6 linked regions of the Macaca fascicularis genome follow. The main gene of each other region encodes a partner of the protein of the gene in region 4 in a complex. Links are inferred from orthologs where the notes say so. Each region holds a gene or a part of one and is shown on either strand. Other genes may lie near its edges. The genes, in order: RRN3, GTF2E2, ERCC3, POLR2L, POLR1B and TAF1B.

What was found.
Region 1: POLR2L (region 4) and RRN3 share a complex: the UniProt entries of both Homo sapiens proteins name them as parts of the pol I pre-initiation complex. The link is inferred for Macaca fascicularis from reciprocal best matches to the Homo sapiens genes POLR2L and RRN3.
Region 2: POLR2L (region 4) and GTF2E2 share a complex: the UniProt entries of both Homo sapiens proteins name them as parts of the TBP-based Pol II pre-initiation complex. The link is inferred for Macaca fascicularis from reciprocal best matches to the Homo sapiens genes POLR2L and GTF2E2.
Region 3: POLR2L (region 4) and ERCC3 share a complex: the UniProt entries of both Homo sapiens proteins name them as parts of the TBP-based Pol II pre-initiation complex. The link is inferred for Macaca fascicularis from reciprocal best matches to the Homo sapiens genes POLR2L and ERCC3.
Region 5: the proteins of POLR2L (region 4) and POLR1B are in contact, whole or in part, in a cryo-EM structure (PDB 7OBA), measured with the Homo sapiens proteins. The link is inferred for Macaca fascicularis from reciprocal best matches to the Homo sapiens genes POLR2L and POLR1B. Residues at the interface, in NP_066951.1 of Homo sapiens: Met1, Ile2, Pro4, Arg6, Cys7, Phe8, Thr9, Cys10, Gly11, Trp18, Tyr21, Leu22, Leu25, Gln26, Glu31, Gly32, Arg42, Tyr43, Cys44, Arg46, Arg47, Met48, Leu50, Ala51, His52, Val53, Asp54, Leu55, Glu57, Lys58; in NP_061887.2 of Homo sapiens: Leu16, Leu19, Thr20, Asp21, Pro22, Tyr24, Gly25, Pro27, Ile157, His160, Glu161, Glu162, Ala163, Phe698, Leu701, Thr702, Arg713, Gln715, Thr716, Pro717, Gln718, Ser719, Leu721, Asp733, Asn734, Pro736, Asn740, Ala741, Ile742, Asn760.
Region 6: POLR2L (region 4) and TAF1B share a complex: the UniProt entries of both Homo sapiens proteins name them as parts of the pol I pre-initiation complex. The link is inferred for Macaca fascicularis from reciprocal best matches to the Homo sapiens genes POLR2L and TAF1B.

Annotation. Positions count from the first base shown.
Region 1 is NC_088394.1:15,520,395-15,524,938, reverse strand, and holds part of RRN3 (RNA polymerase I-specific transcription initiation factor RRN3), read right to left. Parts: intron 4,224-4,544; coding exon 4,093-4,223; intron 3,227-4,092; coding exon 3,042-3,226; intron 1,281-3,041; coding exon 1,172-1,280; intron 1-1,171. UniProt on the Homo sapiens protein: Required for efficient transcription initiation by RNA polymerase I (Pol I). Required for the formation of the competent pre-initiation complex (PIC).
Region 2 is NC_088382.1:33,860,723-33,865,919, forward strand, and holds the start of GTF2E2 (transcription initiation factor IIE subunit beta), read right to left. Parts: upstream 3,159-5,197; 5' UTR 2,553-3,158; exon of another isoform or gene 2,315-2,552; intron 1-2,314. UniProt on the Homo sapiens protein: Recruits TFIIH to the initiation complex and stimulates the RNA polymerase II C-terminal domain kinase and DNA-dependent ATPase activities of TFIIH. Both TFIIH and TFIIE are required for promoter clearance by RNA polymerase.
Region 3 is NC_088386.1:4,251,263-4,255,806, reverse strand, and holds part of ERCC3 (general transcription and DNA repair factor IIH helicase/translocase subunit XPB), read right to left. Parts: intron 3,135-4,544; coding exon 3,085-3,134; intron 2,659-3,084; coding exon 2,523-2,658; intron 2,337-2,522; coding exon 2,172-2,336; intron 1,731-2,171; coding exon 1,526-1,730; intron 1-1,525. UniProt on the Homo sapiens protein: ATP-dependent 3'-5' DNA helicase/translocase. Binds dsDNA rather than ssDNA, unzipping it in a translocase rather than classical helicase activity. Component of the general transcription and DNA repair factor IIH (TFIIH) core complex.
Region 4 is NC_088388.1:741,958-747,183, forward strand, and holds POLR2L (DNA-directed RNA polymerases I, II, and III subunit RPABC5), read right to left. Parts: upstream 3,334-5,226; 5' UTR 3,313-3,333; coding exon 3,218-3,312; intron 1,319-3,217; coding exon 1,210-1,318; 3' UTR 1,042-1,209; downstream 1-1,041. Other genes in the region: TSPAN4 (tetraspanin-4), read left to right, coding at 4,975-5,159. UniProt on the Homo sapiens protein: DNA-dependent RNA polymerase catalyzes the transcription of DNA into RNA using the four ribonucleoside triphosphates as substrates.
Region 5 is NC_088387.1:19,569,714-19,574,224, reverse strand, and holds the end of POLR1B (DNA-directed RNA polymerase I subunit RPA2), read right to left. Parts: coding exon 4,354-4,511; intron 3,551-4,353; coding exon 3,297-3,550; intron 2,283-3,296; coding exon 1,400-2,282; 3' UTR 865-1,399; downstream 1-864. UniProt on the Homo sapiens protein: Catalytic core component of RNA polymerase I (Pol I), a DNA-dependent RNA polymerase which synthesizes ribosomal RNA precursors using the four ribonucleoside triphosphates as substrates.
Region 6 is NC_088387.1:112,161,556-112,166,099, forward strand, and holds part of TAF1B (TATA box-binding protein-associated factor RNA polymerase I subunit B), read right to left. Parts: intron 3,222-4,544; coding exon 3,151-3,221; intron 2,670-3,150; coding exon 2,447-2,669; intron 1-2,446. UniProt on the Homo sapiens protein: Component of RNA polymerase I core factor complex that acts as a GTF2B/TFIIB-like factor and plays a key role in multiple steps during transcription initiation such as pre-initiation complex (PIC) assembly and postpolymerase recruitment events in polymerase I (Pol I) transcription.

The sequences.
Region 1 (4,544 bases), on a different chromosome or scaffold from region 4:
TTTGAGCTGCCCACCATCTTAACCAACGTGCTGAAGCCTCCAGCCACCCACTGCTGCTGCTTGCTGGTCTCTCGATGCCTTTTCCTAACCCTCCACTATCACTGAGATCTCAGAAGAGAGCCCACCTTGAACCAGACGCCTAGCAAAGGAGAACTAAAGAGGCTGAAGGAGCTCAGCAAGCTGCTGGCTCTTACCTGTTGAAGATTATAGGCTATGATCCGGCCTGAATATCCTCATTAAATATTCAATTCTCCAATTTGCTTTCTCCATAAAGCAGAATAACTTAGTGAAAGCTTACGAAGGAGCCAGACTACATTAAAATCTGTGCCGCCAGTCTAGCTCTATGACTTCAGGTTAAGTGATGTCACCTCTCTGTACCTCCACCTCCCCATTGATAAACAGGGTTTCATCCTACAGGGTTGAGGATCAAATGAGTTCTACGTAAAGTGCTGAGAACTGCCTGGCACAGAGGAAAGGCTATGAATTAACCATAGCTACCAGACCTGAGAGAACAGTACTCTCTAAACCAATCTCTTACTGGTCAACATTTGCCTCACGTCCAGTTTATTTCTGTTACTATTACAGGAGTCACTCTAATAAGCATCTATGGCTTTGCCCCTCTCAGCTTACTGGCTGCCTTACTTATTTCAAAGTGCCTAGGCTTCTGCTGAATTATGCCCTTTGGATAAGAAGTAGCAGCAATTTCCAATGCCATTAAAGTACAAAAACAATAGCTGTATTACAATATTTCCTGCAAGGACTGGGTTGTTTTTGTTTAAGAGACAGGGCCTCATTCTGGAGCCCAGACTGGAGTGCAGTGGTATAATCATGGCTCACGGCATCCTTGACCTCCTGGGATCAAGTGATCCTCCTACCTCAGTTTCCTGAGTAGTGGGGACTACAGGCACAGGCCACCACACCCAGCTAATTTTTTAAAATGTTTTGTAGAGACAGGGTCTCACGATGTTGCTCAGGCTGGTCTTTAACTTCTGGCCTCAAGCAATCCTCCCACCTCAGCCTCCCAAAATGTTGAGATTATAGGTGTCAGCCACCACGCCTGGCCTTTTATAATGTTACTAATTTCACAGAAATTTAACAGACTCTTACAATACTAGATAAACATAAATAAAAATATTTTAAATAACTCCCATCAAGAAAGTAAATAACTTACTTTGTGATTGCAGCAAAAAAGTTAACCACTGAGGGCAGGCAAACCTTCAGGGGATTTAGCTGGCTCATCACTATCCGCTCAAAATTCAGACTCTGAAGATACCGCAAACCTTTGGTTAAAAAAAAAAATTTTTTTAGAGGTACAAATGTAAGTGAAAAGTGTAAGATATCTTTAATAGCACAAATTATCACACATTAAAAAAAAAAACTTAATTATTTGCAGAAATGCTTTAAATAAAGGTCCATGCAGATAATCACACAGTGTATGGCCCAGAAGAGTATCACTAGGCTAACCACATTCATTGATCACCAAGGCAGCTTCTCTAAAGAAAACTCAGGAAGTAGCAGGCTGTAAGATTCCATGACAACTGGAAGTTCACACGTTTGTAAGCTCAGTATATGCTGAGTTAATACAGAGGGGAAAAACACCTTGTGATTTGGTTTCAGCTAACGATCATGACAGGCAACAAAACAAAACAACAATTTGATTCTAGCTTGCACGTCTCATTAGTGAAGCTGAGCGCTGTTTTCAGGTACACAGTAGTCATTTGTAGTTTTTTTTGTTTTTTTTTTTTTCCAAACAAGAGAACTCCAAATGTGCCTTCTACCTCAACAGAAGGCAAATTTAGACAGAAACCACTTTCTTAATGAATATAATTCTCTCCTACGTGAGTAAAAGAAAGACATCACATTTATTTTAACAGGCAAGCTGACCAACTTGTACTTAAGTGTATTTTCTCAGGAGTTTCTTTGATGCATATTTTGATAAAAATTACCTAAATGGGATGTCACAGCTTACAAAAACAAGATCTTCAATTCAGATTCCTGGCATTAATTTATACGAAGAAAAGCAGAGCTTATATTTACTAACCTTGTGATAAAACCTCATCCGACTAGTTCATACAACATCTTTTCAGAAGCATGTAGAATGTAGGTAAATATATATAATGCAACACATACAACTTTCAGTTTAGAGCTCTGGCTGTTAACCCAAGGAGACTATGTCCGCCGCAGAGGACACATGGCAATTTTGGGAGATAGTTTTAGTTGTCACAGCTGGGGGTGGTCGGGGACTGCTGTTGGCAGCTAGTAGGCAGAGGCTGTTAAACATCCTACAGTGCAGAGGACAACCCCCGACGATGAAGGATGATGCACCCAAATGTCAATCGTGTGAGGTTGAGGGACCTCGCTTGAGAGGAAGTGGCCCACAAAACCATGTGAATTATTCATAAACATAAACAGAACAATTTACAATGACTTATAAACACTGTTCTTGGAGACTCTCTTCAACTAAAATACACTAATCTAGTAAGTTCCAACTGACAGATTTGAATTATAAGTAACTATTAGAAATTAGCAAAGCAATACTGGTGAATTAAGTCTCAAGGCTTCAGGCAGAGTTTAATCTATATAAACCCAAACTTTAGGCTCAGCTGAACCTGCCTTCAGTTTTCTAATCCTGCCAATAACCATGTGATCTTGGGAAAATGACTCCCCTGTGCTTTGGTGCTGTCTGTAAAGGGAGAACACCTGCCATTTACTGGGCTGTTACAAGGACAACAAAGAGAAGGTGCATCCACCTGAAGCTTTGTACAGGGCGCTGGCACAGCCCAGGGCTCAGCCTCACCTCTGCAGACATCTTCACATTTTAAACCTTCAAAAGCAGAAACCTCTTTCTTAACCTCAAATCCATCTTAAGGGGTTTGCAGGGGCCTATGAGCTGCTTGAAATGATTATTAAAAGTTTGAGTGTACATGCAGTTTTCTGAATCCAGAGTTTTTAATAAAAATCTCAAAAAAGTAAAGAATCACCATTCTAAAGGGTGACAAGAACCCAAGGAAAATCCAGTCCCGCACTCCCACAACACCGACCTTCTTTCAGGTTTCCGCTCAAAAGCTGCTTGTGTCTGAAAACAAAGGTGTAGAACACAGCTTGGCAGGCTGAGTAAAATGGACCATGGAGAGCAACATCGCAGAATGCCTTTGTTCCTGAATCCTGGTTATTAAGGTATATGTGCAGCCAGTTAACCAAAAGATCTAGGCACGATTTTACAGTACTAGAGAAAAGAAAAATTCAAGTCAACTTCATATTTCATAAAAAAACCAGAAAACATAAAAACACACAACTGCCTTTCATTACAAACCACGCTAAGTTCATATGTTTCTTTAAATAATACCCATGGGCACAGAGGAAAAGCAAAGAAAGGAAGGATATGGATGGGTGCGTAGGAAGACAAGCTTCCAATTACAAGGCAGAGCAGCTCTGACCTTCTAGGAACAGGTGAGCCCCTAAGGACGTCCCAAGGGATGGAAAGCAGGTTCTCCTAACCATCTCAAAGGCACCCTCTTAGGGTGACTGGCCAAACAGGACACGTTCACCAACATCTCCCAAAAGAAAGACAGTCTGGTGGACTTCAGTATTCCCTGATGCATCCTAGTCAAGTCCTATGGTCAATAATTTTGTGGTTGGGGAAGGGTTTCAACAGCATCCTTGTCCAAAGATATCTTCATGGGCCACTGGAAGAAACTGGCCTTCTAGATAGGTCTATTACCTTTAAAAGGGTTTTTCTTCAGCTTTAACAGATACAATAGATTCAGAACGCAAATGAAAAAATGATAAACCTACAAAAAGAATCAAAACAGTATACAACACTGTTCTCTATCCACAAAAACAAACGGATCTTTAAGTGCAACCACACAGAAGAGATGACAAAAGCCTTACATACGGGGTTTTATATATAAAAAAAGGAGACACTTTATTCTAAAATCACTGCTTAGAAATATAAACATCTTGCACAGAGTAGGAATTTTATTCACTTTAAAAACATACCCAAAAAAACGGGAGATACTTCTGACTTGAGACAATGCTATACTCTTTTTAAAGCATGATATTAAAAAGTACTTGGAAAATTAGGCTACTTACATAAGAGGAATAAATTTAGCTCTTGCCAAAAAGCTTCCAATATAATTTCCAGCAGCCTGCCTGATGATGGCAGGATTACTTGGATCCTGCAATTTTTTCCAGAGATGTTCCAAAAATGCCTCTGCGAATCCCTATAAAAAGAGAGGGTGTCGGTGTGATCTTTTTTAATGCCTAAGATAATCTGGCTATCAAAATCCTAAGATTTTTACTTCACCAATGTAGGAAAAAGTTCTAGTATGTCATGGTCTTCATTTTTTAAACATATTGAGAAAATAACATTAAAAACAAAAGGCATCTCAGGTGTTAATTCAATGGATCCCAAACCTAGCTAAGCATCAAAATCAACCTGGTGCCAGGCGCACTGGCTCACACCTGTAATCCCAGCACTGTGGGAGGCCGAGGCGGGTGGATCACCAAGGTCAGGAGTTCGAGACCAGCCTGGCCAACCTGGA
Region 2 (5,197 bases), on a different chromosome or scaffold from region 4:
ACGCAGAAGGCTGAGGCACGAGAATCATTTGAGTCCAGCGGAGGTTGCAGTAAGCTGAGATCCCACCACTGCACTCCAGCCTAGGTGACACAGCAAGACTCTGTCTCAAAAATAAAAAAATAAAAAAATAAAAGTCTACAGAAAATTTCCAATTTGGATGGAGGTGGTTTGAGGCAACTTCTATGTTGTGGTTGTTTGTCCAGTTCTAAAATTACAACTGTAAGCAACTTCAGTACAACCAGGGAAGCTACAGGTCAACCAAGAAGAATTCTAAACACTCCTCTCTTCTGAACTCTGCTAGAACCTTGCAGAGGGTCTATGAAGACCTCAAGCTGACTATATAAATGAATTTGACACTGTTAAGACTAGTGTCAGCTGGGAGGAAAAAGACTCATACTTTGAAAGCTTCTAAGCACAGATAGCTCAATAAATGTTAAATGAACAACACATGGAACAACATCTTTAAATTGCTCTGGTCCCATTATTACTGGTTTCACAAGCCTTTATTAAATGTCTTCTGTTTGTGAGGCACTGTGCTCTAAGCTTTGAAAGGTTATGGAGGATAAATCCTTGTCTGCGTGCTGCTTAGATTTGAGGAAATGGAGCATTCAGCTAAAAATTTAAAATATAAGCATTAGTAAGAAATAATCAGAGTGAATTCCAATTAAGGCGTGAACAATCACTGTACGGTGAATCAAAAACCTGCCTTCTCTCAGTATCAATTTTTTTTTTTTTTGAGACAGAGTCTTGCTCTGCCGCGCAGACTGGAGTGCAGTAGGGCAAAATCGGCTCAATGCAACCTCCGCTTCCTGAGCTCAAGCGATTCTCCTGCCTCAGCCTCCCGAGTAGCTGGGGCTACAGGTGCGAAGCACCACGCGCCGCTAATTTTTGTACTTTTAGTAGAGACGGGGTTCATTCACCATGTTGGCCAAGCTGGTCTTGAAGCCCTGACCTCAAGTGATCCGCCCACCTCAGCATCCCAAAGTGCTGAGATAACAGGCGTGAGCCACCACACCCGGCCTCAGTTTCAATTCCTAAGAGCCACCTGGCTAGGCAACCCACAAGGCCTCTACATTCAATTTCATAAGTAAAATGAGGACGCTGCGAAAGCTATCCACATCCAGCCCAATTGTAAGAATGAGAAAACGTGTGTTATTTTTTAAATAGTAAAGTCATAAAAACATATGTCATTTCAGTATTACTATTTCGAGTTGGATCTGAAAGAAAAGAACGATTTACTGCGCTGAGGAAGGTAGGAGACAGCCTTGGGAGGAGGGAAAGCGTGGGGCCGAGAACAAGAAAGGAGAATTGTTAAGTGAGAAGGTGGGGGCAACAAGCTGATTGTGAATTTCTAGAACAGGAAACATTTGTGTCTTATTATTTCACGTTGCAAAGGCAGGACCTTAATCTGGACTTTTAAAAAACGACTCTAAAATATTTAAATAGGCCGGCCGCAGTGGTTCACGCCTGTAATGCCAGCCCTTTGGGAGGCCGAGACGGGCGGATCACGAGGTCAGGAGTTCTAGACCAGTCTGGCCAACATGGTGAAACTCCGTTTCCGCTAAAAAATTTTTAAAAATTGCGGGGCGTGGTGGCGGGCGCCTGTAATCCCAGCTACTTGGGAGGCTGAGGCAGGAGAATCGCTTGAACCAGGGAGGTGGAGGTTGCAGTGAGCCAAGATCGAGCCACTGCACTCCAGCCCGGAAGACAGCGCGAGACTCTGTCGGCACAAAAAAAAAAAAAAAAAAAAAAAAAAAGATGTAAATAAAGCCGTACAGTTTACAACAAACTAAATGCTTACAGTATTTGACCCTCGCAACTCCAGGAGCAAACAGGTATTAGTGTCATTCCTATTTTAATACATGAAATCTGAAGTGAAGCTGTCTGGTTAAGGTCGCACAGATGGAAGAGCCAGGGCCAGAACCCAAACCTCCTGACTCCTAACTCAAGTGCTCCTTACAACAGATCTGGAATGCTGGTAAAGGCCTTTAAAACAAAGGCCACCTATGAGGTTCGGGAACGTTCAAAGGCATCTAGAGCAGAAGGCTTCGCAATGTCTTCACGTGCTCCGCCTAACTTTTCCTCCTTTTTCAAAGACTACTCAATATGTGTAGTACGCTTTAGATCTCTGGACCCACCTATGTAGTAAACAGGTTACATCACCATGTTCATTTTACAATTAAACAAAACTATCACAACTCAAGGAGTTGGCTGGTTCCTCCGCGGGCAGATATGGAAAACCCAAAAATTAAACTGAAATCTGCCTCCAAGCCCACGATTCTTGCCATCATTCGACCTCTTTCAACCTTCCTACCTCCCCTCTGTTTTACTTTTTCCCAGCCTCGTTAGTGTCCCTGGCACCTCAGGATCCGGCCATGAAAAGCGGGCTGCTTCGCCCTTAAATGACGGAAGTGAGGAGGTGGGCGGAAAGCGGGCCGCAGCATTGTTGTGGAAAACGTCTTTAGACTTCAGAAATCAACTACTATCGTTAATGTTTAGGGATCATCACAAACCAAGTCTCCAAAAGGTAGCCCAGAAAGCAGTCCGCGTACAAGCATCATTTTAAATCACAGCCTTGAGCTGGCTGGACCCCGTGGCTCCTCAGACTCCACAACGTGGTTCGCTTGGCTACCGCGCCCGTGAACTTGGAGGCTTGGAAGAGGCACAATCAGGTAGCAAACAGCGAATTTTCCCTCTTTCCAACCCAAAAGTTTGCTCAATGAACCTCCGGCCTAAAGACAATGCTCCGGGGAACGGTTCGCGTGCTCGGTGTTTCGCTTCCAGAACGGCGGCCCCAGCTTCCCGTGGGGTGGAGGTCACGCTCAGCCTCCCGGGAGGCGGCGGCGCGCCTGGATCCTGGGGAACAGCAGGACGGGGCTCTGCGCCCCTCACCCGGCGGCCGCAGCCCCTACCTGAGTGAGGCGGGCAGCCTCTCACGACTCGCCGCCCAGTTCCTGCGCCTCCGCCTCGGCCAGCCGCCCACGCCGGCACTGCAGCCTCTTCCTGCTCCTCGTCAGCGCCCCCGCCTGCCCGCACGCACGCCCAGCGCTGACCCGCCAGGTCGGGGTCTCGCCACTGGCGGCGGCGGCGGCGGTGGCTGAGGCGACGACTCGACCCGGGACTCCGCCCGCCACTTCCCGATCTGGTGCTAGGAGCTCAGTCCCGGCAGCCACCGCGGCGCCAGGGCAGCGAAGCGAGCGCATGCGTCATAGGGTGCCCCGCCTCTGGTGCCGCGGGAGCAGAACTATCCCGCTGTGGCGTCCTGGAGCCTCCATGACAACGAGGGAAGGGCCGGGGCGGGGCCGAGGAGTGGACTGAAGTGGGAGGCGGTGCCAAGGAAGATGGAAGACAGCTTTCTTTACGCACATTTAATTAAAGCTGCTACAGCCTGCTCCCGCCTGCGCTGGGATGTGGTGAACCCAACCAGCGACGCTATCTTTCAATGGTTACTTTGTGTTTTTTGTCTTTTTCTTATTAGAGATGGGATCTCACTTGGTCGCCCAGGCTGGACTGCAGTGGCGCGATCTCGGCTCACTGCAACCTCCGCCTCCTGGGCTCAAGCCACTTTCCCACCTCAGCCTCCGGAGTAGCTGGGATCACAGGCGACTGCCACCACGACGGGCTGATTTTTGTTGTTATTGTTTGTATTAATAGGGTCTCACAGTGTTGCCCAGACTGGTCTTGAACTCCTGAGTTCAAGCGATCTGCCCGCCTCGTCTTCCCGAAGTGCTGGGATTACAGGCGTGAGCCACCGCCTCCGGCCTCAACGGTTATTTTGTGAGTTTACCCCAGTGCCACCCACCAGCACCTGCTCTCCGAGAACGCGGTTCCAGCTATTTTACAAGCGAAGAACAGAGGGCCAGGAAGCTAATTAATAAATGACTTGCTCAAGACAGCACAGCTAGCAAAGGCAGCATGATGTGGAGCTCAGCCCAGCCTCTTCCCTCCACCCCTGTGAACTGTCTTAGAAAAGGATTTTGGATTTAGAAGCCAGATAAATGGGTGGAAATAAAGCAATGGAAAAAATAATTGTCGTTGCTCGAACCCTGCAGCGTGGCAGGCCTTCCCTCACTCTTATAACCTAAAGCGCCAGTACAGCCAGTGCTCAGCCATTCTGTGGCTGTCGTTGAATTACTTAACTACTGGTTACTCTTCAAGTTACTAAAACTGTGGCTCAGTTTTCTCACCTGGAAAATCGGGATAATCATTGTACTACTACAATGAGTTACTTGCATTGGACTGTGGTGAAAATGAGAAATACCTAAAATTTTATTCAAAACTTGGAAAAAAGTCAAAAGATAATATTTTGTGACCTTTTTGATTAGTTTCATTCTAGAGAATTTTGTAATAAGCCTACTTGATCATCTGACACCCACAGGAAATGTAACTTTGAATAACAATTGATTAGGGCCCAGAAGATTTACAAAAGGATGAAATCAAAGATTAATTGGTAGGAAACTGATGAGGTGTAAGGGGAGAAAGGGGCAGGGAATTCAGTGCCAAGCTGAATTTATATATATAAAAATATATAAATATAAATATATTATTTATATATAATATATAAAATATATAATATATATTATAATATATTTATATATAATATATATTATATATCATGTATAATATACATTATCTATTTATATATAATATATAATATATGATATATATTTATATATAATGTATGATATATAAATATATATCATATATTATATATCATATATATTATGTATAATATACAAAATAATATATAAATATATATTTGTATATAAATATGTATAAATATGTATATAATTCCAAAGGTTAAGGTTGCATTCTTCTAAGAAAAATTAACCAGTTTTGTATCAACTGAGCAGTTGTATTTCAGCACTCCTTTCCCCAACAATTGTATAAATTTCATTTTTCAGAACTGGTAGAAATCCATTTTACGATTCTGCTGGCTCCCGTATTAATGAGTGAGAGACTTAAACATATGGACAATGGCTAAACTGCATATGATAATAACACTCTAACTCACATAAGCCAAACCACAACCTCTACAGCAATCAGCTCAAAATGGTCAGGATTTTCTCAAGAAGGCTGCCAACTTTTCTATTTTAATCTCTCTGTCCCCAGACACCAGTACCAGCCAGAGAAAGCCAAATATTCTCCCCCAAACCAATCCTGTTAAGTTTCCTGCTTCAAGTTAGATTACCTCCAG
Region 3 (4,544 bases), on a different chromosome or scaffold from region 4:
GCTGACATCTGTGTGACACACCCTGCTCCAGCCTGTTTTCTTCTTTATAATGAGACATGCTCACTTCACACACACATGTGAGAATTAGCAGGTGCTGGGGCCTACTGTAGCACTTTACATGCATCTCATTTAAATGTTAAAATCTCAAAACAAACTGGTGAAAAGAGAAATGCCTGTTATTGTCATTTTAAAGATAGAAAAACCTGGCTGAGCCACCTTGGCACGGTGGCTCACACCTGTAATCCCAGCACTTTGGGAGGCTGAGGTGGGTGGGTCACTTGAGGTCAGGAATTCAAGACCAGCCTGGCCAACATGGTGAAACCCTATCTTTACTAAAGATACAAAAAATTAGCCAGGCGTGGTGGCGGGCGCCTATAATCCCGGTTACTTGGGAGGCTGAAGCAGGAAAATAGCTTGAACCCAGTAGGCAGAGGTTGCAGTGAGCCGAGATGGCGCCACTGCACTCCAGCCTGGGTGACAGAGCAAGACTCTATCTCAAAAAGAAAAAAGACAGACTGAAAAACTAAAGCAGAGGAGTACTTTGCCTTGCCCACAGTCACGGGACAGTGACACTGCTGGGGCCCAGCATGCCTGGCCCACAGAAGGAGGGACTTGGCAAAAGAGCACTATTATTATTACACAGCGAACGGGGCTGAGACTTCAGGGATGCGCTGCGTGTGTACAGAGAAGATGAAATTCCAGGAGCTTCTGAGTTTACCACCATCCACCATTTAAAGATCAAGAGAAAAATCAAGCTTTTCCATTAAACAGAGATCCTTCCTTTATTATAAAAATACATTCTGTTGAGTTACCAGGAGTAAATGCAAATAAAAAAAATTGCAAAGTGAAATAAAAAAGAAAAACACCATCAAAAAACCCTTGGAGTTTTGGAAAAAAAGAACCTCCCCTTCCCTGAAGACCTTGCCTCTGTAAGTCCTCAGTGGGGTCCCAAGGTGAGTCTGCTGTGGCCTCTGGCCAAGAAGCTAGGCTAGGATCTGACATTACTGAGGATAAGTGGTCAAACAGGTGCCCAGGGGGCCACTCCTGCCTTTCCCTGGACTTGCACACCATCCTAGTCATCCAGGAACACCAACGTTTCTGTGCTAGGGAGTCTCCAAATACACAACCCCTAAGGCTGATTCAAGAACAAGAACCTAACGCCACTATGTGCAACAGCCCCTTGCCATTATTACAATCTCACCCCTTATCTGCTCTCATTTTTCTTCACTGCCTCTAGCACCACCCAAGATTGTACACATCTGCTTACCATCTGTATCTTCCCCAGAAGAATGAGCTCCATGAGGTCAGAAGTGTTGTTCTAGCCACCATAATACTCCCAGTGTCCAGGCCAAGGCCCATGCACAGCAAGCACTAGAATACTTGTCAAGTCATGAATCAGGGAGTCACCTGATCTTGGCTTTTTAGCAAAGTGTGATTTAGTGACATGCGCAGAGAGAAAGCAAGAGGCAGCTGGCAGATCCAGACACAGCAGCCTGGCCACCTTCTTAACTCCAGAACCACCTACCGCAGGGAAGAACAATGACCCCCGAACGTGCACGCCCGTTTCCAAACATCTTTCTCAAGCTCTTCTCCTGATAGGGTCTGAGGACAGCTGTGGGCTTTAGGTCAATGTTGATATCAGGGTTGACAGAATCATTCCGGAAGTCGTATTCTGCCAAGAGAGGGTACTCCAGGTGGATGCAACGTTTCTGGAGTTCCTCAATCATTTCCTGGAAAGTAGGCACAAAAAAGGTTTTAAAATCTTAACTCCAAAGTGTGCTCAAAAACATCACATCTTGTAACAGGTCTAATGGTCAAACAAGTGGCATTCTGTCTAAACTTCTACAGTTTTAGATCTTGCTCAGTTAACAACTGGGATAAAGCACAGAAAAGCAACCCAAACTAGTAACACTTTCAGGCACTGTTTCTCACATCTCCTCAGCAACTTGTGAAGACCAGCCTACCAGCCTGAAAAAGAGGACACTGGGACTTTAAATCCATCAAGAGGAGTGATGCCATGGCCCACAGATAATGAAAAGTAGAAAGCAATGCAGGGACCAACAGGGATTCCTTTCTTTCACACAGACTACAGGCAGAGTTGACACAGGGCTGGACTAACTTCTAACAGCAACTCAGTGAGGGAACCAGGAGGAAGGTCCGTTCACACTAACCTGCTTGACTTCAAAAGATACCGTCTGTGTCTCTTCTTCTTCTTCCTCATCCTTGTCCATTTGCTCATAGAAGTCAAACAGGTCCATGGGGATGTCAGATTTACCCTGTGGATCTGTCACTCGGGAAGTGGAGGGCCCACCACTGCCTTCAGCAGTCTTAGAAATCTGTGAGAGAGGTAGGTGCTGAATGTGCACACATCATTTAATTCTGCTGGTATCAAACAAAGGGTGAAGTTGTAAAGGGTAGAAACCAGCAGGGCTGCCAGGTTGTAAATGCTGGGTAAAAGTCACCTGAGAACTGAAACCCTAAATGCCTGCCCCCACCCAAGGGTAGCCCAGGAGTCCACGTACGGCAGATTTGCTTGTGAAAGTCTCTGTGATGAGCTCAGTGGCCTCCCCTTCAGAGTTCCTTAAGCGGCATTCTCGGATCACCGGGTCCTGGAGAAGATGCTGGATTACATCAGGGTGGGAGCTTTCAACGAAGTATCTGCAAGCAGGAGAGGAAGAAGCAGTCTGCTGACCAGCAGGTACCTCCTCATTCCACTGCTCATTCAATCAGACGGTCTGGAAATACAAGCCTCAAGACTCTCCCCGCAACCCTTCGCCCAATCTGTACTATGAGCTGCTGGCCATGATTTAACATATGAGGGTTGTGGGCAAAGCCCCACTTTGAGGTCAAGTAAGCGGGGGCCTGAGCCCAGCTCCATTGCTAGAGGAAATACAGTGGCCAGTGGACGAGTTTCCAGTCTGGGCCACACCTCTTGTTCCTCTTCTCTTATCTGTGCTTCAGAGGAGTGTGGTATTGGCACAGAGCAGACAGCATAAACATCAGGTCCTTCCCATATCCCTTTATTCCTGCTGGTGCGCAGAGAGTGACCATGACTCGGGACAGGCCTGTCACGGAATCTCTTACCTGTTGTGCTTCAAGACCAGCTTGACTTTTCCATAGCTGACAGTACACAACTGCAAATAGAGATAACACCCAATAGGTAAATGTGCAGCTAACTCAGAACACATTCACTACTGGTCACATCTTACCCCAACCAACCAAGTGAAAAATTCATTTTACTTTAGGACAATCCTAACGGGTTCAGATCTGCCTAAACTGAGCTTTTCCCATTGGCCTCTGCTTTCTGAGAACAAAATCTTCCTCTTGCCTGGCTAATTCTGATGCACATCCATTCAGTTATAAAACGCTGCTTAAAATCTCCTTGCATTCTGCCTTTCCTCTCTATTCCCACAGCCCCCACCCTAGCCTGAAGACCACACCAGTATTACAACAACTCTTTGCACAGAGTATGTGCACAGTAATTGCTGCTTAAACAAAACGCAAAGCCTCTTCACCAATGCTCCTATTTCCCCAAATAGAATGTAAGCATCTTGATGGCAGAGAATACAGCTTAAATCCTCCCAGGTTCCCAACCACCTTTAGGAAGGAATACAGTAGAGGCTGTGTGGCAACAATAAAAATTTGCCACTGAGTCCAGGCGTAGTGGCTCACGCCTGTAATCCCAGCACTTTGGGAGGCCGAGGCAGGTGGATCACCTGAGGTCAGGAGTTCGAGACCAGCCTGGCCAACATGGTGAAACCCTGTCTCTACCAAAAATATAAAAATTAGCTGGGTGTAGTGGCGGGCGCCTGTAATCCCAGCTACTTGGGAGGCTGAGGCAGGAGAATCGCCTGAGCCCGGGAGGCAGAGGTTGCAGTGAGCCAAGATTGTGCCACTGCTATCCAGCCTGGGCGACAGAGCAAGACTCCGTCTCAAAAAAAAAGAAAAAAAAAATTTGCCAGACTTTAAGTGGCTGCCTGTTCCCGCTGTTGTCCCTGATCCACCAGTGCAGTGTGCCAACACCTACATCCCTGCAGGCAATTCGCAGCCAAGACTGAGCATAGCCACAATGTTGGTACAAGGTCCTCTCCTTGGGCACACTTTCTTTTTTGTTGTTGTTTTGAGGTGGAGTCTCGCTCTGTTGCCCAGGCTGGAGTGCAATGGTGAGATCTCAGCTCACTTCAACCTCTGCCGCCCGGGTTCAAGTGATTGTCTTGCCTCAACCTCCTGAGTAGCTGGGATTACAGGCGCCCACCACCATGCCCAGCTAATTTTTGTTATTTTTAGTAAAGACGGGAATTTCGCCATGTTGGCCAGGCTGGTCTTGAACTCCTGACCTCAGGTGATCCACCTGCCTCGGCCTCCCAAAGTGCTGGAGTTACAGGAGTGAGCCACTGCGCCTGGCCGGGCATACTTCCACATCACAGGAAAAGAGAGCTCTCTCGATGACTCCTGCAGCTTCTCTGGGACTGCTTGCAGTGCCATACTGAATTCCTGCGGTACTCTTCTGCCACTCCAGATCTCAAGGTCTGAATCTGACTCCC
Region 4 (5,226 bases):
GGGGCTGTGCCCAGGTAAGAGGCGTCAGGCAGATGGGTGGGGGCAGTAGGGTGAGGGGGTTTACATGGTAGAGCCTATAGGCCCTGCTGGGGGCACGGATGGGAGATACCAGAGCCTGGTGTCTGGCAGAGGTACCCTGGAGACGGGAGCCAGGGTTCAGTCACTGATTGTACCCCCCACTGCCCAGGCTCCTGTCCCTAAGGCTCAGAACTGAAGACCCTCAGGCAGACCCATTCTCCCCCACCAGAGGGCACCACGCCAGGTATCTCAGCAGCAGGGCCATCTGACCTGGGGTGCTTGCTGGCAGCACTGCCTGGACAGCAGGGCCTCCTTAGGGCCGCCTCCCAAGCCAGCTAGGGGTGTCTTAAGGCCTGCCCTCCCTGCTAGACTCGGGTGGGACCCTCAGGGACAGGCAGCAGTGGGCAGGGGCCAGCAGGTGCTGGCATCCGTGACCATAGCAAAGACTGGGCCCCAGACGATCTGGTTCTTTTTTTTCTTTTTTTTTGAGATGGAGTCTCACTGTCACCCAGGCTGGAGTGAGTGGCGCAATCTCGGCTCACTGCAAGCTCCCCCTCCCGGGTTCAAGCAGTTCTCCTGCCTCAGCCTCCCGAGTAGCTGGGACTACAGGCGCCCGGCACCTCGCCTGGCTGTTTTTTTTGTTTTGTATGTTTAGTAGAGACGGGGTTTCACCGTGTTAGCCAGCATGGCCTCAATCTCCTGACCTCGTGATCCACCCGCCTTGGCCTCCCAAAGTGCTGGGATTATAGGGGTGAGCCACCGTGCCTGGCCTAAATCTGGCTCTTCAGATTCCAAGAGAGAGAGTACAGGAGCCTCTGCTCAGTCTGAAGAGCACCCAGAAGGAGGGAACCTCAGCCCTGAGATGGAAGGCTCTCCTGGCAGCACCTCCTGCAGGGGTACCTGTGGAACAGGCTGGCCCCAGGGCTAGGAGAATTCATGGCCCAGTCGGCTTCCCTGGGCTGCCGCGGTGAAAGCTGGGCCTAGTCCTGGCCCCTGACATCCTAGTGAGGGCTGGGACCTTGGTAGTTCTGAAAGACCTTTACTGGATTGTTCCTTCCAGAGTGGGGGATGGGACACACACACGCTGTGGCGAGGCATTGCGCCAGCTCCTGGATGCCTCAGCCTTGTGAACTTGGGGCAGGATGCTCATGGCCCATGGTCAGCATGGCAGGTAGGCGGATTCCAGCCTGGTCACTTCTCCAGGGGTGCATAATTGAGCAGCTTCTCGATCAGGTCCACGTGGGCCAGCAGCATCCGGCGGCAGCAGTAGCGCTTCAGGCCCAGGGCGTCCAGCGCATCCCTGTGTCAAGCGAGGGGAGGAACAGAGAGGCCAGCTGAGTTCTCCACGGTCTGCACAGGCCTGGAGCCCACATCCAGGCCGCCTCTCACTGCCTGCTGGCCTCACTCCCCTGCTACCGGCAAGGCGAACACATTCACCTGGATGAGAAGTAGAGACCTAGCGGTATGATCCTGGCTGGAGTAACCTGGCAATGCCCAGATCCCTGGGTGGAGCGTGAGGAGCCTTCTCTCCCACCTACTCTGGCTGTACATATGTGTGTCTAACATATGTAAGAAATATAAATGAAACGAAAACTAGAGGTAATTGGGGGAGCATAGAAAACCAAGGCCACCGAGGTCCTGATGCGCAGCTCCCCTCATCCCGCACCAGCCACAGCAGGGTAGCTCTCCAGGGGCCTGCCCTTAGCTGGTTCATCCCCCACCCCAGAGCAAGCCCTACTCTGCCACTGTGGCGTCTTTTCTCACCTCTGCTTCCTTCAATCAGGGAGAGACTGCTTCTCCAGGGAGCCACCTCTCCCATTTCCCAAGCCAATTAGAAGCTTTAATTTCCCTGGGACCAAGGTCCAGTCACCATCAATACTTCCAGAAAACTCCCACACTGATGGCTCCAATGTGCAGAGAGAGAAGCTTGGGAAAGGGGAGGCCACATGGGAGGCCCCTGCAGTTCATATCCCTGGGAAAGGGTCTGGACAGGCCACCAGCCACTCACTCTGGCAGCCCACTCGCTTTACTCATTCGTCCAGCAAGCTGCACTGAGAGCCTATGGCAGGCTGGCACACACGAGCCTGGGGTTTCACATGTGACCAGGACTCAGCAGGCAAGGGTCAGACTCCAGCAGGGGCACCAAGACTCAGGCACGGTGGTGACAGCAGCACTGAGGGACAAGCACAGGAGAAGGATGCCTCCCCCACAAAGCCCGATGATGAGGGTGGTCAGCAAGTCTGCCCTGCATTTCTTTTTCTGTGTGTGTGTGTGTGTGTGCGTGACACGGAGTTTCACTCTCTCATCCAGGCTGGAGTGCAGTGGCGTGATCTCGGCTCACTGAAATCTTCACCTGCCTCCCAGCCTCAAGCGATTCTCTCGCCTCAGCCTTCCAAGTAGCTGGGACCACAGGTGTGCACCACCAAGTCCGGGGAATTAAAAAGATAAGAGGGCCAGGGGCGGTGGCTCACACCTGTCATCTCAGCACTCCAGGAGGCCGAGGCAGGTGGATCACCTGAGGTCAGGAGTTCGAGACCAGCCTGGCCAACATGGCGAACTCCTATCTCTACTAAAAATACAAAAATTAGCCGGGCGTGGACACGCCTGTAGTCCCGGCGACTGGGGAGAATTCCTGGAGCCCAGGAAGCAGAGGTTGCACTGAGCCGAGATCGCGCCGCTGCACTCCAGCCTGGGCGACAGAGCGAGACTCCGTCCCCCCCAAAAAAAAAAAAGAAAAAATTTCTGGAGATCAGGGTCTCCCCAGGTTGTCCAGGCTGGTCTCGACCTCCTGGGCTCAAGCAAGCCTCTCGCCTCGGCCTCCCAAACTTCTGGGATTACAGGCGTGAGCCGCCGCGCCCGCCTGTCCTGCAGCGAGGTTTGCAGGACATGGGGTGGGTCTGGGAGCAGAGACGAGAGATTAGGACGGAGACCAAGGGCTTTACTGCGGGTGACAAGACGCCTGCCACCCGCCAGGCCACCTAGAATCCCCAGGACACCACTGGTTTGAAGCCCAACTCCGCTCTCTCCCCAGACTTCAGGGGACAATGTTCTCCCGAAAGCAGATCACAGAGCTGGGCCGGAGTGGCCGGGTATGAAGCTGCTCATGGAGCGCCGGCCCCAGGCAGCGCTGCGCCTCCCGCCCCGGCCCGCACCCCAGGGCGGACTCAGCCCCCAGCCCCGGCCCCAGCCCGCGCCTCACCCCTCAGTGTACTCGGCCTGCAGCAGCCCCAGGTAGGCCTCCCACTTGTTGCCGACGATCTTGCCGCAAGTGAAACACCGTACAGGAATGATCATGGCGGCGGCGCGTCCCAGACTGCCCGGCCCGGTCCGGCCGCACGGGAAGCACTCCCCCCAGGCCCCGCCCCGGGCGCGTCCACTATCGCGGGGGGACCGGCTCCGCTCGTTCTCCGCTGCCCCAGCCGTTCATACACTGGCCCCGGCGCAGCTGGCCGCAATTTCCGCCGCCATGGGGATTCCCCATGCGGCCCGGGGCTCCTGGGCCTGCACGGCCGCGGCAGCAACAGACGACACACCCCCGCCCACCATCTTGGTGCGTCCCGGAGCTACGGCGTCTGAGCAGGGCCGAAAGCCGCGGTGGCGGTTCGCGTTTCTCGTGTCCGCTTGACTGACAGCTGCGCGGAGGGAGCGGACGAAGCGAGCGGGAGGCGGCGGCGCAGGTAGAGCGCCCGGGGGGTCGTGGGGGCGTGCGGCCAGGGTCTCGCGGCCCGAGGTGTCCGACCGGGAGCGGCTGGAGCCGGACGCGAGCGGGGCGCGCGAGTTCGAGCCTAGAGCCGACACGCAGCAACAAGTGGGGTCCGGCGCGGGGGCTTGGGGAGAGGGCGGGCGCGGACCGGGGCGGGTCTTCCTGCTGCCCCTCTTGGCCCCGCCGGGTAGTGGGTCCCTCCGCCTCCGCCTCTACTCGCGGGGTGTCCGGGGCTCTCGGCGCCGAGTTCGGGGGTCCCATTCTGGACGCGGCCCAGCCCCTAGGAGCGCCGTCCTGGCCTCGGCCGCGCAGTTACGGCCCCCGCCGGCTGCTCCCCGCCCCGGCCTCCTGTCCGCGTTCTTTCCGCTCCTTCCCAGGAAGGGGGTCGGGGTGCGCCCTCCCCGGTCCCGGCTCTGCTGGGCTGCTGGCCGTCCCGACGCTGAGACGCGCCTCTGAGCACGGGGAGAGGGGGCCCGGGAGGGAGGTCGGGGAGGGCGTCGTGGAAGAGGTGCTCTTTGAATTGAACCTTGAAGACCGCGGCACAGGGGACCCCTGGGCAGACTCCCGGAGGCTGCACTGGCAGGACCCGCTGAAGGCCGCAGCTCTGCCTTGCCCTGGAGCTCAGGGCCTACGGAGGACGAGGGAGGGGGAGCCCGTGTCTCTCGGATGGAGTGCGGGGGGGCTGGCACCAGCACCCTCCTTGCTGTGCCCCTAGGGTGGGGGTGAGGAAATGGGGGGTCGGTGTGCAGTAGGAGGCAAAGAAGACTCCTTGGAGGTGCCAGGTAGGCTGTGGGGGGGTGGGTGGGCTGCAAAGTGGCACCCATGGGGGGGCTCTGGGCTGGGGCTTCCAGCTGGGGTGGGACCTGTGCTGGGTTCCAGGCATCAGCTGCCGCTTTCTCAGGGCAATGCTGGGTCTGCCTTAGTTGCAGGGGAGGAGGATGAAGGGTTTTCTGGATCCAGAGTGGTGCTGGCCAGATCCACTGCACACTTGGGATTTCTGCTCCCAACCTGGCCAGGGCCCTGGGCAGCTTCCCCAGTGGCATTTGTCATACCCCACCCAGCCACGTGCAGAGCCACGAGCGGAGGCCACTTCCCTTCCCTGACCCCCTCCCCCCAGGATGAGTGGACGCACATCCTGCTCTGGCAGAGGGGCAGGACAGGGGCCGTGAGTAACGGTGGCCTGGGGTCAGAGCCAGGCTCAGCTGCAGAGGCTGCTGGTGGCTGTGGAGGTGAGGGAGGAAGGGGGGTCCGGGATGTTAGCAGGGTGGGCCCTGGGGAGTGGGTGGGGGCCCGGAGGCTTCCTGGAGGAGGGTCCAGGGCCTGTCCTGCGCCTGTTCCTGCCTGCAGGAGTTGTTTACTCGGAGCACGGGGCGGGGAGAGTAAGCTGCCCTCCAAATCCTGGCTTGGGCCAAGCTGACATTCTTGGAATTCCAAGTGTGTAAGCTTCCTATCCCTCCATTTCCTAGCAGAGCCCCTGAGACCTGGAGACTGCCCCAGCCTCAGGC
Region 5 (4,511 bases), on a different chromosome or scaffold from region 4:
GGAAAGCTTTCATCATCAAAAAATATCCTATAATTGCACAAGTACATACAAGATGATCTATTATCAACAGTTTATAATGGCCAAAGATAAATAGGCAGAGTATTTGCCGAAAAAAGTTATAATGGCCAAAGAATGGAACAACTCAAATACACAGGGGATGGTATATCCGTACAATAAAATACTGTGCACAGGAAAGAAAACATAAGCGGCACTCTACACACTGCTTGAAAGCAGGTCAATATAAATGCAGAAAAAAGCCAAGTATGGAAGTGTAGACTAAATATAAAATACTCACTGGAGGCCAGGCGCAGTGGCTCACACCTGTAATCCCAGCACTTTGGGAGGCAAAGGTGGGTGGATCACTTGAGGTCAAGGTCTTTAAGACAAGGTCTTCCTACATTACCCAGGCTGGCCTTGAACTCCTGCACTTAAATGATCCTCCCACCTTAGCCTCTCAAATAGCAGGGACTACAGATGCATAGCACCATGCCTGGCTTCCAAAATGGATGAATCTTATTTCACTATCCTAAGTGAAATAAGCCAGTCGGAGGACAAATATTGCATGATACCACTATATGAGATATCTATAATAGTCAAACTTGTAGAAACAGGGTAGAAGGGTGCTTGCTAGGGGCTAGGGAAATGGAGAGTTGTTCAACAGGTATAAAGCTTCAGTTATGCAAGACAAGCAAGGTCTAAAGATCTGTTGTACAACATGGTGCCTATAATTAACAATAGTGTATTGTACACTTAAAGATTTGTTAAGAGGGTAGGTCTTGAGTTACGTGTTCTTACCACAGAAAACAAAACAAAAAACTCAACAGCAACCAAAAAGCAAAAAACAAAGGGGCAGGAGGAAACTTGTGGAGATGACAGATATGTTTATTACCCTGATTGTGGTGATGGTATCAAAGGTGTGTACATATAGTCTAACCCATCAAACTGTATTCATTACATATGTAACAACTGTACTTCTATAAAGCTGGCAAAAAACACTCTGTTTGTTTTTACTTCAATGTTGCTATAAGAAAATATAAAATTACGTTACAGCTTGCATTCTATTTGTATAGTACTGTCCTGCTCAAGATGGATTAACAGGTGTGTGACAGTCACTGCCTGCTGAAAGCAGGGTGTAGGGAACCTGTATGTTCTTCCATTTATCAATATTTCATATTTTGAGAAGACATGAGATTTTTGAACAAATATACAGAAAATCATTGTCAACAGTTAATCTACCAGCGAGATTCACACTTTGCATTCTTGGTTTTCAGATCTTGGTTGAGAGTTCTAACACCCTTGAAAAATCTCAAGAGTAACCTGGTAATAATATCTTCATTGAACTAAAATTACGTTTTGTTTTAATCTGATAGGCCTCCTAATCCAAAAGGTCAACATCAAGTTAAACAACATCCAGTTTCACTTTGATGTTCATAGCTGCCAATTCAGCTACAAAATACCGAAAAACATAAGGCACAGAAACAGTATCGATAGTGTCACTGCGATTACACAGAGTACAGTTGTATTTTCTGTTGCGCATGGCAGACCAAGAAGGGGGTGGCTTCTCCAACAGTGGAGAGAGTAAACTGCCACACTTCACACACACGTGGGCTACTGACCGATCTGAGCAGTTGAAGAGGCGGTCATGAAGGAGAAAAGATGTACCGTGAGCTAAAAGCGCATCCCGTTCCATCTCCCCAAAACGGATTCCACCCTGGACATTTCTTCCCCCAATAGGCTGGTTGGTGACTCTGTCTCGGGCCCCAGTTGTCCTTACTTGAAATTTGTCTGAGACCATGTGGCGTAAGCGCTGATAATAAACCACTCCTATGAAGATGTCTGCTTCCAGTTCTAGCCCACTGATGCCACTATATAACCTCTCGGTGCCATAGAAATTGTAGCCAGCAGCCTTTAACATCTCACCAAAGTATTCTAAGGCCGAGTTCTCCTCTGAGAAGATGAAGGGTGTAGCATCATGGCAGAGACCATGCAAAGCTGCAGACTTCCCAGCCATACTCTCAATTAACATCCCGATGGTCATGCGGGATGGAAAACCATGGGGATTGAACAGAATGTCTGGGACCATCCCACTCTCAGTAAAAGGCATGTCCTCAGCCGGCCACAATCTGCTCAAAATGCCCTTCTGCCCATGACGACTGGCAAATTTATCTCCGATAGTTGGGTTCCGAGGCACTCTCATAGTGATGCAAACACACTTGAATTTTCCACTCCCAGTGTCATTACTGCACACTTTGATGTTATCCACAACACAATTTTCTTTACTCCTAGGAAAAAGTAAACTCTGTAAGGTCAACCTATTTGTTTAAACTTATAGAGGTAAGTTTCATTGACATAATTAGTGCTTCATAAAAGATATTTGTAAAACACATTTTTTTTTTTTTTTTGATGAGACAGGGTCTCACTCTGTTGCCCAGGCTGGAGAGGGGTGGTGTGATTACAGCTCACTGCAGCCTTGACTTTCCAGGTTCAAGGAATCCTCCCACCTTAGCCGCCTCAGTAGCTGGGACTACAGGTACATGCCACTAGGCTTGGCTAATTTTTAAATTTTTTGTAGAGACAGGGTCCCACTACATTGCCCAGATTGATCTTAAACTTCTGGGCTTAAGGGAGCCTCCCATTTTGGTCTCCCAAATTGTCGGGTTGCAGGTGTGAACTACTGTGCCTGGCCTGCAAAACTCATTCTTACCTTTATTCTCCAATACAAACAGAGATGGTATGAATAGAGCTATTGGTGATATTCACTACAGAATTATGTTCATCTGAAAGAAAACTAGCAACAAAGGCAACTGAAAAATTATTATGAAGGTCTACTGAAATAAATTATATTGTAAAATAAGCTAAAATAAGACATTTCTAATAAGAGGTATGAGCTCAACATTTTGGCTAGGAAACATTGCTAACATTGTATATGATAAAGACGACAAAGTTTGTATAATACAGTTTTTAAAAAAAGCACAAATAGACCAGGCACAGTGGCTCACACCTGTAATCCTAGCACTTTGGGAGGCTGAAGCAGGTGGATCACTTGAGCCCAGGAGTTCGAGACCCTCCTGGGCAACATGGTGAAACCATCTCTACTAAAAATACAAAAAATTAGCTGGGCATGGTGGTACGTGCCTGTAGTCCCAGCTACTTGAAGGCTGAGGTGAGAGGATTGCTTGAGCCGGGAGGTGGAGGTTGTAGGGAGTGAGATCACTCCACTGCACTCCAGCCTGGCTAACACACTGAGACCCTATCTCAAAAAACAAACAAAAACCAGCTTGGATACCCAAACTTACTTATAGTACATCACAAAACTTTCCCCAGTGTTGAGGTTTAGGTAGCTGTAATATGGATCTCCATACTGCAGTTTTGCTCCTATAAACGGCAATCCATCGTCATCTAACTTCTGCAAAATCCGTGGGTCACCAGGTTTGATTCCAAACACCAGGCTACTATCTCCTTGTTTAATTTTTTCAGAGAGGTCTATGAACTCAGACTTGTAGACACTTCCATGGGCAAAGCCTCGTTCCCAAGAGGCCTTATTCACAATCTGTGAAGTAAAAGAATCGTTAATTTAAAAGACTGAGGCCAAGTGAGGATTTTCAAAATAAAACTAGGTGGGACTATAATACTTGGTTTAGGATAACTGGCATCACATTTTAACTCTCCTCACATTTTCCAAATCACTGATACTAACTACAAAAATCCAGACATGGCTGGGCACAGTGGCTCATGCCTGTAATTCCAGCACTTTGGGAGGCCAAGGCAGGCTGATCACTTGAGGTCAGGAGTTAAGAGACCAGCCTAGCCAACATGGTGAAACTCCATCTCTACTAAAAATAAAAAATCAGCCAGGCGTGGTGGCGGGTGCCTATAGTCCCAGCTACTCGAAAGGCTGAGGCAGGAGAATTGCTTGAACCCAGAAGGCAGGGGTTGTAGTGAGCCAAGATCGTGCCACTGCACTCCAGCCTGGACAATAGAGCAAGACTCTGGCTCAAAAAAAACACAAAAAACAAAAAACACCAAGAAAAACAAAAACCCAGGCACACAGAAATAGCTTAAAATCTAATCATACTTAAATATAAAAGGTAGATATATCCAAAACCAAACTCTTCAAAATTTACTCATAATATGCACTCAAATATGCAAGATATATGTGTATCTGAATATTTAGTGGATACTCCTCAAGGCTTGCCCACTTTCAACTTAGACCAAGAACTAATCATTTCATAGAACATCATGTGCCAAATACTAGGTACTTGGGTACACAAAAATATTCCTTCAGTGATTTCACAGTAAACAAAAGAGTTAAAAGATAAAAAGATCGGAACAACATTTCCCGGTAAAACTTACCATGGCATCTTCCATATCATAGCCAGTGTAAGAAATCACGGCAACGATGGCATTGGTCCCAATTGGATAGTTATCCATGTCATAATAATCATACATGGAGGGTCTCACCAAGGGACTCTGAGGAGTCTGAAGACGATACAGTTTGTTATCTGATCGGT
Region 6 (4,544 bases), on a different chromosome or scaffold from region 4:
CCACCTGCATTGGCCTCTCAAAGTGCTGGGATTACAGGCATGAGCCACCCACCACACCCGGCTTAGAGATATATATTTTTAAGAGACAGGGTCTCACTATGCCCAGGCTGGAGTGCAGTGGCTACACACAGTCACAATCATTGCACATCACAGCCTCAAACTCCTGGCCTCAAGTGATTGTCCCACCTCAGCCTTTCAAGTCGCCAGGACTACAGACATGTGCCACCACACCTGCCTAAGCTAAGCATATGACATATTTGAGTACTTTTTTTTTTGAGACTAAGTCTCGCTCTGTCACCAGGCTGGAGTGCAGTGGTACAGTCTTGGCCCATGGCAACCTCCAACTCCCGAGTTCAAGTGATTACCCTGCCTCAGCCTTCTGAGTAGCTGGGACTACAGGCATGCACCACCACGCCCGACTAATTTTTTGTATTTTAGTAGAGACGGGGTTTCACCATGTTGGCCAGGATGGTCTCAATCTCCTGACTTCGTGATCCGCCTGCCTCGGCCTCCCAAAGCACCAGGATTACAGATATGAGCCACCCTGCCCGGCCTGAGTACTGTTTTTTCACTGTAGTTTAAAAAAATAGTTAAAAATAATATTTTACAAATTCAAATCAAATTTTTGTGGGGCAGCCAAAGCACCTCCATTTCCTGTGGAATACAACTAAAGACCACTGCTCTGCCTCATCTATGGAACTCCCAGGGAGGTCATGGCCACCTACAAGAAGTCAGGTCTTCTGACCCAGCCAACTATTATAACAACTGGGAATAGAAAGGGCATTTCAATTCATTGAAATTGTTAACTCTGCCTCAGCTAGGAAGAATCAACAGCCTCCCATACCTGAAGTACTCTTGTGGCCTTTCTCTGCTTAGTTCCCAAGCTCTGAGTGTTTTCACAATTTTACAGCAAATGTTTTGTTTCTTCTGAACCCTCAGAAATGAGTCCTTCTGCCTAATGAAATTCTCTACATAGCTAAATATCTGCTCTCAAAAGCATCGCTTTTCATTGTAACCATTTTTGATGGTTGTCTTAGAGCATATTTAGCATATTTTAGCCTTTACAGTTGCCTGTTTTTATTGTAGAAACAGTAGAAAACATGCTATTAAAACCCACCACGAAGGCACACAGCATCTTGGGACATGCGCTGTGCTGAAGCAGGGATGTGGTCCCCTTATTTAGTGGCACGGAGCCATGAACTTCAGGCTCTGCGACTGGAGCTCTGTCTGCTTTGGATTCTGAGGCTGGCTCCCCTATCGTTGTCAAAGGGTGTCATTTATGTTTACCGTCAAGATGTCTATCAGCAGAGTGCTTCTCGGACCTCTGGTTTTGTTTCTTTGACGATGAGGAGTTTGGAAATCAGACAACTCAGCCTAAGGGCAGAGTCAGGGGCTCTGAGCGAGGGGCTAAGGGGCTCTCTAAGGAAAGAGGCTGAGTTTTAGTTACGGTCTCTGTGGCATTTTTACTGCCCAGCTGAAGCCTTTTTTGCTTGCTCTGCAGTTCTAGGCTCTGGTCTAGAACAGGGAAGGTTGACAGATAAGTTTGGTGTCTAAAGTCATGGTATCACTGAAACTTCATACAATCAGAATTTAGTTTTATACTTCATTCAGAGAAAAAAATCTCAGCATTTTCATCACTGACTATACTAAGCTCTATGTATCACTCACTGCGTTATACTGCAGTATTAAATCTGAGATCATCCACAATCCACCCTCATGCCCTGTGAAAAAGCACAAAGGTACGGATCACGACATAAGCTGCCATGGATGCAAAACCTGAATCTAAATATGAGGAACCATCACAACCATACTCAGAAATATTGTATAACACCACTGACATTTCTGAAAAATACAGGTCAATGTCATGAAAGACAAAGAAAGGCTGAGGGACAATCTGATTAAAGGAGACTGAAGAGATAAAATCAATCAATGCTATACCTACTCCTGAACTTGATCCTGCTATAAAAGGACACTGGGGATCTAATGAGAAAACTGGAATATGGACTGTGGGTGAGATAAAAGTATCGTATCAATATTAAGTTTCCTGAGTTTGATAACTGTACGGTGGTCACTTAAGAGAATATCCTTATTTTTAGGAAATACTTAAGGAAGTATTAAGAGGTAGAAAGACATGAAAAAGGTAACTGACTCAGAGAAGTGATATGTACTAAAAAATACAGCGCATTCTCCTGATCAGCAGTTACAGCCACTTCTATTGCCTGCCTGCTGCACTGCAGGTTAATTTAGAGGCAACAGTTGTGCTAATTGCCTTGTATCCTCTTTCTTTTTACCAGCTTTCCTAGAACTCTTACACAAGACTCAATGTATAATTCTGATTTTCGTGACTTTAAGCTCACCAGCTTCTAATTCCAACAGAAAACCTATCTGGCTCTTATATAGGCAACTGCTTCAATTATATGTGACTTTTTCTAAAAGCATTGATTACCATCTGCAGAATTTCTGTGTACTAAGCCAATATAATGAATTCTTAGTTAGCAGTGATTGGCCTTTCTCTTTCAGGACTCCCTGAAGGCTGTGTCCATGGAAACATGTTCTATCAGTGTCTTCTTCAGTCCAGTTGAACTGAAAACTTGAAGGGCTTTTTTTTCCAGCAGTTGCTGTTGAATCAACCAGTGTGCTAAATTGTTTCTGTAGATTCACCACCATTTCTGGAAATGGAGAAAAAAAGGAAACAAAATAACAAGTTATATTAAATCACAAATAAAGCCTGGAATTTACTTGATAAGAATGTACCAATATTGGTTCCTTAGTTTTGGCAAATGTACCACCGTAATGTAACAGGATAACTTTAAGAGAAAATGAAACTGGATGAGGTGCATGTGGAAAACTACTTCAAAAAGAATGTACAATCCAAAAAGAATTCTATAAGCAAAGAATTCCCAAAATCAGAACGATTTAGGATTTTAGATTTTGGCAGGAACTGAGGCTCTGTTTTGAAGAACGGCATGTTCCTGAAGTAGATTCCTGCAGAGATTGCTTGCAGAGCATGATGCTCCTTTGGATGTATACGTGCCCCGGAACATTTGTTTAAAAAAAGTAAAAAACTTAAGCATTCAACATTTCAAGTCCAGATATTTAATTTTTCTACAATTGTGTTGCTACTTGGTATTAAGACAAAACTGGACTCACCTCTTTTTTTATATGCTACTGGTTTGTCGACAAACGAGTAGTAGAGTGGCTTTTCACTTTTCCACAGGTACCTGTACATGGTAAAGAAACAGCTGGAGCAGGATGGAGATGAAACGGACATAAACACATTGTCTGAAGCACTATCTGAGATTTCCGATATTTCGTTACAGTTCTGGCTTAGAATGGCTTATTGGCACATGTCTATATTGTCTACTGAACTTAGGCCCTAGAAGGAAGCACTGACCGAGAGCCCAGGCCAAGAGAATGGTATGCTCCTCTCAAAAGCTGCCCAGATGCCGTGACATCTTGAAGAAGCTATTAATTACACACAAAACACAGAAACAGTTTCCTCCACCATAAATTTCCCTTGCTGCTCGTTCTCATAAAGTGAAGCCACCTCGAAACAACTGTTCCTCATTGCCTTTGCCCCAATGCCTTTTTGCTGAGAGTTGTTAGTAGTACTTTTGAATAACTTACACGGAGTGAACAGTAAATGCATCTCTCTGGCACCTGATGCCAGGAAATCTATTCTACTCCTGGCGTAAAGGAGAGGAAGAGACTGGATTCCAGGATGACACAGTCCCAACAGTCCCTGTCCTGACTCAGCCTATTCTTGCCAAGGGAAGGGCAGCCAGGGAGTTTCCACTGTAAAATGGGGATCCTGGATTGCTCTGGCTCTTGGGGTTCCCTCCAGGACAAACACTAAGAGCCACCTAAGGTTCCTACAGATTAGGGTGATCAGTTCTAGACTCCAAAAGGAAGTGACATGTTCTATTTCTGGTTCTAGTGGTTGTTGCTAAACTTTGCCAAGGAGACACTGCAGCTCTGCAACAAAGATAACAATGTTCATTCTTAGTCTCATTTTCATTATTTCTGTGTTCCCTAGTGCAGAGGACTTTCATAACTTATAATAATAATAAAAAAAAAATCCACCTTCTTCTTGATCCCAGGCCATTTTCTTATTTTGAAAGACACTGTGGCAACAAGAAAGAGTACTGAATCAGAAGACCTGGCCCACCACTTTCTAGTGGTAGAGCTAGCATAATCTGAACGACAAATTATGGAGGCTCTCAAAGGCAGAGACTGTCTCAGCCATCCTTATGCCCCTAGCGTTGTCAGGGAATGGCAGATAGTAGGAACTCATTTAAACATTTGTTGAAGAATAACTGGATGAATAAATGAACAAAGAAATGAATTTAGCATCTCTAAACTCATCCTCTACTTTCACAGGGTTATTCTGAGGAATAAGATAATGTATATATGGGTTCTTTAAATCCTATACAATAATTAGAATTATTATTTAGTACTTGACAAAGTGCCTGGCTAGCAGATACTCAAGAAATATCTGTGAACTTTCCAGAAAAAAAGATTAAAAATAGGAAGCCAGAAATACA